Linked DNA regions of Oryzias latipes. Each later gene encodes a partner of the first gene's protein in a complex. Links are inferred from orthologs where the notes say so. Each region holds a gene or a part of one and is shown on either strand. Other genes may lie near its edges. The genes, in order: strn and pdcd10.

Region 1 (3,818 bases):
TTCACAAGTCCAGCCTGTGACACCAACATGTTTCCACTCGTCTGTCGTCAGATCGCCCAGATCCCCTCTGAGCTTCGCTGGTCTTTAGCTGGAGTCAAAACAATCAGCTTGATGTCATGCTGGGTTTAATCTTTGACTTTAGCCACAAAAGACAATTTTATCTCAAAAGCTGAAGTCAGACATTCCCCACCATGACACAAACCTCTCTCAAATCCACCTCCTTCTTTCTGCCAGCAGAAAGAAAACACAGAGGAGGGTCAGGAGAGGCCCGTAGCTCCGCCCTCCTCGTTTATGAAATTGATTTGAATCTGAAAGTCTCAGAGCGTTTGCAGCTCTCTGTCTGCAAGGACCAGGGCAGTTTCTCAACAGCCTGTCGGTCTGGTTTTGTCCCCTTGTGTAGAGAAGAACGAGCAAGGCTCCATTTCTGAGGCCTGGGACGTGGCCCCGGGCCTGATAACCCAGCTCAAGGAACAGTACAAAAAGGATCGCAAGGGGAAAAAGGGGGTTAAGAGTAAGTCCTGCTAGGTATTGCTGCCTCCCTGCTTCTTCTCATTCTGCAGAGCCTAAAGCCTTAGTCACAACTGAACCTGCGGGTGGAGACGGGCTTCCTGCGGGCGAAAAATGGTCAAACCTGTACGGGTGGCACCCGTCAATACCTGCTGCAGTCTGGCCGTTAGACAGGAGGAAAATGGACAGAGTGTAGTTTGTGTGGACATCCCATGAACACTTCTGTATCACCCAGTGTGTGCAGCACTTATGCACAATTAGTAAGGAGACTGTACTGGCACCTTGAATGTGCCGTGACGACACTGTAGGACAGCATCACCTGTAGGTTGTAAGTGTGTGTAACTTACATTATTGCCACACATACACACGACAATGGTACGTCCCGTTTTAATGATGCCCCTTGAGGTCCTTGTACGAGCCTCAAGGAAGCTGCAAGATAAAGAAAATTCTACAAAAACTTTGCATTTCTGAGTATTTCTTTAATCAAATCGTTGTGGAAAAAAAAAGCTGTTTGGAAAAGATTTTTGACGGAAAATTTGCTCGCCGGGCCACAAGCTCCCTGCTCTGCTCCATTCTCAGGCGAAGGGTCTATAGATGCATTCGTTTGGGTTGCTCCACGCCAACTTTCCCGCCCACAACTCTGAAACTCTGTCCTAAATATCGACACGGGTTTCTTTTCTTTTTTCATTTTGGCTAAAAACGGTAAAATCCTGATCAAAAGAGCACTGGGAACACTCTGAAACCCGAAAGCCGAAAGCCTCACAGCACCCGTACAGGTCAAGCCCCCCAGTGTGACTAAGGCTTTACTTTCCTGAGAAACCAGCCTCAAATCCAAATTGGAGCATCTTCACTGTTTTCTCTGAGTTTCTTCTGTCGCCGCTCCTCGTTCTGCTTCTCTGTCCTCTTCACATCTCATTCTTCAGACCTCTCCGGTGCCTTCAAAACCTGCATCTGTGCTCAGGATTTCTTTTGCCCTTTGGTTGACCCTGGTGCATGCCTCATTTCAGTCTTTCATCGCCTTATTCTCATCTTCACGTCATCGTGCTAACCGTGAAAGATCAGACCGCCGTGCCACAGTAGCTCTGTGATTGCCGCCGTGGTCCTCATCGGTCGGCTCGGCTCGCGTGGAGAAGTCGTGTAGCCGCTGATGTTCTGCCGCTCGATAGCAAAATCAGAGCTTTTCCTGTGACCCGCATGGATGACTCATTCAGCAGCCCACAGATTTCACATTTCTGACACCCAGTCTCCGCTCTCCTTCTGCAGCGACTGCTCGTGACATCAACACTCACTTTCTCACCTTCCTTCTACGCTGTTTACACAGCCCCCCCCCCCCAAGAGTGTGTGGTTTTTTTTTTTGTGGGTGTTCGGACGACACCATGTAGAGTTTCTGTTCCTGCGATTTTTGTCTGTTGCAGCTCCTCATAATCCATTTCTGCGCCGTGTTCATACCAGCCGTTAACTGCTGTTATTTATTGCTAAAACTGTTGTTAGATTTAAAAAAAAAATAAGCTGGAATTTACAGTTTTGTGTTGCCAATTGCACCTTTGTTTGTTGAGCATCACAAGGAAACTTTCCTAGGTCTCTGCTGGTTGCTTAGCAACAGCTCTGAGCCGGAGGAAAGTGTGTCAAAAGGACAGACTGAGCGGATCGTAGTTTTTGTCTCACGCACTTCTGAAAGGATGGCAGTTAAAACGTACAGATTCAGGTTTAGACTACAGTGATTCTCCACACCAGCGGCTTTAAAGGCAAATGTACCTTTTGAGTAGGTTTCACTGCTTTTCTTCAAACTTTATCTATTTTTCTTTCTTCCCAGTCCTTCCATCTTTTCATCTTTTTTTCTCTCAGCTTGTTTGCACTCTTTTTCTCTCGTCTCCGTTCTCCATCAGTATGTGTTGGTTCTGTTAACCGGTGTAACCCCACCTGTGAACAGGACCCAACCGATCCAAGCTGCAGGACATGCTGGCCAACCTGAGGGACGGCGAGGACATGCCTCACATGCAGCCTCCGTCCGCCCCGCAGCCCCGACCCAGCGTGCCCCGCTTTAACGAACACGAGGGAAACCGGCCGGATGAAGGTGCCTCAGAAAGACCGCCGCCCCCTTTCTGTTTGAACTTTGGTTATAATCAGGTTTCCTCTCCGCAGTGGAGACCCTTGCTTTCCCGCCCACCTCAGGGACGTTTATTATGGGCGCAGACGAAGCTATGAAGAGCGACCTGGGACTCGGGGAGCTGGCCAGCATCACCGTGGCCAACGAGGTCGAGAGTCTGGCATACGATGTGAGTGAACTGTTCCGGTTTTTCCGGCCCGAATCGTTCACAAGTCTGCGTTTAGCGGGTCAACCAGACAACGGAAAATAGCATCTCTTCAGCCATTTTACCCCTATGAAAGTAACAGTCCACCTGGACCTTTTCTTCTTTATTCATCACATAATATTTTAAATTGTTTTTCAAAATAATTTCATCCCTGACACTATTAGATAAATTGTTACAGATCTAAAATGTTCTAGATCTGTAACCTGAGGCTCTGGAGCCACAAGCAGCTCCTTTATTACTCTATCCTGGCAATATAAAAAATTATAGTTTTAGTTTGTTTGTTTTTGCTAACTTTGTTTTATCATTTATGTACACATTTATGACATCACTGAGAGAAGTGATGGTAAAAAGTTCAGTCTGCTGTCAGAGTGGTTTAAGATTCAACATGTTCTTTTCTTCTGCTGCACAACAGAGTCTAGAGAAGTTCTTAAAGATTCTCTAAAAAATAAATTAAAAAAAGCTGTATTCTACACTGATCTCATCACATTTATATTTGATAGTAAGAGGAGAAAAAGGATGACAGTGATTCGCCAAACTCTCTTGCCTTTGTTTAAACCAAAACTGCTGCAGCAAAAGGATCCTATTTGGCACACAGGATGTGTTTTATTTTGAAAGGATGGTGTATATGCCGGTGTCAAAATAAAAAAGGGAATGAATAAATAAAGTTAAAATAAGTTAAAATTCTCAAATTTGAATGGTGTAAAATAACTCTAAACCCCCCCCAAATGAACTGATTTCATAGATGAAGTGATCCGAAGGTTTTGAGTTGAGGCCCTGATAAAACACTGAGTAGTTAGGAATATGTTTATTTCTGTTTATTTGATTCTATTAAAGGCATTTTGATAAGAATGACGGTATCAGACTGTGGAACAAGTGAACAAAACCATGAAGCTCAGAGACGCTAGTCTGTCTGGCGTTTGGCGGCTGTTTGCACTACATCTCCCATGATGCATTGAGTTAAAGTGACAGTGTCTCAGCGCACAATGAGCCTTTCTTTGT
Region 2 (4,312 bases), on another chromosome or scaffold:
GAGGAGATCATGGGAGAACCATCAGGAAGAAGAATGTTTAGTATTTTACTTTGTTTTTTTTTTTAAGCAAAGAAATTTGTTTTATCCTTTTTCATTATAAAAGATGTAAAATATTATTATTATTAATTTCTGTTGCTTTTAAGAAGGTGAATGGAAAAATGACTTTGGTGAAAAATCTCAGCAAGTTCTTTTTTTTTAAAGCTAAATTCAACATGAAGGAAGTTAAACACAGAAAAGCTTTTTTCTTTTTTAAAGCAGAAGTCATTCATTTAATTTCCAGATGCCCTCCCCAACCATGAAGACGCATAACTCAACAATAGGATTTATTTTTTTAAATTACTGTACCCAATTGCTATGACACACATTCATACTCTTTGCAACATACATATGACAGGAGTGGGATCACATGATTTTACATTTCCTCTTGGTTGATTCACGAGGTCTCACCTTTATGAAAGCTGCCCTGAGCGTCTGAGCTGCTGATGGATTGATTCTCTCCAGCTAAAAAGAAGAAACAAAGAAAAAAAGTACAGGCCATTAAAAAACAAAACACACCAGGACAGAGAGCGGTGCTTAGCGTTAACAAAAACGTTCACAGAAAAGAGAAAAGATTAGAAACAATTTTTGAGAAGCATTTACTATTACAAAATTTTGAAAAAAGTTCAGAAATATCAATTCTTCTACTTTAGGTACTAAATTTGGATTTTATGATAAGAGAAACATCTGTCAACTTCAATTAAAACTCTATAAAAAATATGTATTTTTTGGACTAATGTTTTTTCATTTTTTAATTGTGATGGCAATGTTACCTCATTAAAAACTGGGAACATCACAGCATACAGCGTCATGGATACCATGGAGTTAGTCTCCGCTTCATTCTTCATCTCCTCCATTGTCATCCTCCAGGGAGGAGCAGCACTTGTTAAATTAGTGACAAAGAAAGTGCAGCTCTCGCACACTCACACATACACCCACTCACATACACACACAATCACTCACACACACAGACACACACACACACAGACACACATACACACACACAGGACAAGCCGCACAAGTTCCAGAATGCAAGTGACCTGCAAAGAAAATAAAACAACAATAGACGGTTATTGATGAAGGTTAGAAATTTGATTATCTTTATAAAAACCAGCTTTTGGTTTCCATTAACTTGATGGTGAATCATTGGTTTTACTTTTACAAAGATATTAGTCCTTGTTCAATTACATCGGTTCCAATTCCGCAAGAAAATAATTTCTAGATATGAGCCGAAATAATTTACAGAACTTGGTACCGAGAGGAAAAACAGAATATTGCTTAGCCTTGCTCCTAATTGGGGAAGTAGCTCTTCTATCTACAAGCTCCATTCATTCAAATATAAATTTCAAAACATTGTTGGCACATTGTGCAAAGGCGCAAATATTAGAGTAAAATCCATAAACAGATTTTTTTTTAATGGAAATAGACTGACATTCCAGCTACCATTAGAAAGAGCAGCTGGAATGGACAGCCTTAGGTTTCAGTCACACTTGACCTGTTCAAGTTAAAGAAAAAGAAATGATCCAAGTTAGTTTACAGCTTGTAAATGTTTCACTAATGCCATAACAGGGGTCTACCATAAAAGGAAAAGGAAAATAAAAAAATACCTGACTATATATTAGTCATAAAGCACAAAGGGGTAGGTACCAAGTGCCACTTCAGGGGGGGTACTTGGGGTTTTTAATAAAATAAGAAGCTAATTATAATTGTAAAAGTATAATGAAATCTAAATCCAATTTTATTATTGTTAAAGATATTTCAATTAAGATTTAAAATAATTCTCTATAATTCGTTCATAAATACAATTTTGTACCTACATTTATAGACTACTCTTATGAATTTACATTAAACCCCCAAAAAACAACAACATAGGGGCTTACCTAACCTAAAATGTTTTATGTTTTTTTTTTATCTGCAGAGATAAAACTCAAATTAAAGTTTTTCAAATAAATCTACAGTGCCACATAGTAGTTTGTTCTGTGATGATTAATAGCAGTTACTAAAAAGTAAAATCTGAAAAATAAAGAATCATACGCTAACCCGCCCACACAGAGGCTATGTTTTGACGCCAAAGGTAAGAGAACCTGTTGACTTTTTTAATTTGGTTAAGGGGAGTGGCACGCTTTAATAATGTTCCTTTTTTTTTAACAAAACCTCACTGTGAACTTAACTGAAAATCTAATTTAAATCTAATTACTTGACAAACAATATTATTATCGCTAAGTTTCTAAAACGCAACATACGTAAAGAAGTAACTAGTCACATTAGAAAAAAAAAAACTACTTCACAGACTAGGTAAGAATGACAAGTGTTCGTAGATGAAATATTACTGAAAACGGTGAGTGTAAATGCTTAAACAAAAGGAGACAAAGTTGGTCTAGTTTTTATTCGTATAATGGTGTCTGAAGCGCTGCTCGTCTCAGTTGGAAGCTAAACTGACCAGTTAACACTAGCTACCGAAATACAGATAGCCCTAGTAGGTGGTAGTGCTAACGAGCTATCAGAAAGGCTAAGTCGCTGACGTATCATAAAATTAAGAAATGTATTTTAAATAAAACGAAGTAATGTCAATGTTTAAAAAACAGCACTATTACCTGTTGGTGTTAAGTCACACATGTAAATCGATCTAATTTTAAAGACATTCACTTGAGGCCTATAAGCGATCGAATCGATATTAGCAAACTGCTAGCTTTGAATAGCGTAGCTAGCTCAAATAAATTGAAGCTTTAATCCCAAACGGCCCTAAACACTTACACAAACTGACTGCGCTGCGCAAATTATCCTATACTTGTAAAAAAAAAACGATATTTGGTTCTACCTTTGATCTGACTTCTTTAAACTGCTGGCTATTCCGTCGATTGCCTTTTAGCTCCTGTGTTTTCTTTACAACTTGAGGCGGAAGTTTCTTCGGACTGGCCCGAACGACATTTTCCGGACCATTGCTACGTAAACGCCCATTTATCCAATCAGAGAGCGGAAACCGAAACTGTGCAACATACGTCATTTAAATGCTCGCGTTTCAATCGTTGCAATCATTTTTCGAGTAAACAGTACTTTTATGGTTTCACATAATTAAATAATAAGCGAATATAAAATAACATCAATAATAAAATACTTTAAACAATAATTAAAAAAATTCATGATAATAACAATTACACACCAAAAAAAACAGGATGTATTTTATACCATGAACATAATTGGTAGTAACTCACAATAAAAGTATTTAATTACACAAACACTCAACTTTGTAAAATAACAGTTATGTAAAGTATTACCAATAAATATATTTTACATTTCACTCAGTGAATGTTTAGTAACTCTTGTATTACAACAGACTTGCCACCTCAGCAGTAGCCTATAGGTGTTGTAGGTCACTGTACGCTTTTTCACATTTTTGTCTCAAATTAAATTATGGAGACAAATTTCCTGTTAGGATAACTAGACCTAAAAAAATTATTTCCTTTTCATGTCAGGTCCATTTCACCCCTTAAATCCATATCTGCCTGACCTGTTGTTGTAAGTTAAGGGTGGTCATATTAACCTACTTCAAGTAGCATTTTATTTGTGGATATTAGTCTTTTAGAGGTACATAAGGCTTTTTTTTAGAGTAGTAATACTTTTCAAAAAAGTATAGACTAAAATGCCACTTTAAATTGTTATGGTTTGCTTGTGCAGGTACAAGCTTAAAGGTAATGCTTCAGGAGACATGTGAAGCAGTGCGATTTTGAGCCAGAATTCTTTTAATACAAGGCATTACTTCAGAAATGTGTTACGTTTTGGAAGTAACTTGCAAAAAACTGATTATAACCAAAGTAAAAGAAAAATTAAACATGTTTACTTAAAAAGGAGTAAAAAAAAACAAAACACTCCATTTCCACCACCCAAATGATGGTGTTAATTTTTTATATTATTTACAATTTCTCTATTTTTTATTAGGTTCAAGAAGTTGTCATCAAACTCTTTCAACCCTTTAACTATCCAACCAAGACAAAATCAAATTTTTAAAAAACTGTTTTTTTCTGCTGCTAATTACCTTGGGGGAGTAATTCACACAATGTTTTTTAATCTCAATTTTTCTAAATGTGCTCTACTGTTTGGTGGAGCAGGCAGTTGAGTGTGAACGCTGATCTGATTCTGCCCTCTGGAGGAAGAGCAGAAGAACAGTTTTATCACAAAAAGAAACACACTGGTAACCAACAGGAAACTTTCATCAACCTGAGAAACGGTAGTGAAAGCAGTGAGTCCACAGACAAACCCTTTCATTGAAAAATGTAAA

What was found.
Region 2: strn (region 1) and pdcd10 share a complex: the UniProt entries of both Homo sapiens proteins name them as parts of the core of STRIPAK complex. The link is inferred for Oryzias latipes from reciprocal best matches to the Homo sapiens genes STRN and PDCD10.

Annotation. Positions count from the first base shown.
Region 1 is NC_019873.2:28,015,839-28,019,656, reverse strand, and holds part of strn (striatin), read left to right. Parts: intron 1-400; coding exon 401-511; intron 512-2,437; coding exon 2,438-2,581; intron 2,582-2,649; coding exon 2,650-2,783; intron 2,784-3,818. UniProt on the Homo sapiens protein: Calmodulin-binding scaffolding protein which is the center of the striatin-interacting phosphatase and kinase (STRIPAK) complexes.
Region 2 is NC_019880.2:9,011,018-9,015,329, forward strand, and holds the start of pdcd10 (programmed cell death protein 10), read right to left. Parts: upstream 2,985-4,312; 5' UTR 2,855-2,984; exon of another isoform or gene 2,631-2,854; intron 1,077-2,630; 5' UTR 900-1,076; coding exon 810-899; intron 502-809; coding exon 448-501; intron 1-447. UniProt on the Homo sapiens protein: Promotes cell proliferation. Modulates apoptotic pathways. Increases mitogen-activated protein kinase activity and STK26 activity. Important for cell migration, and for normal structure and assembly of the Golgi complex.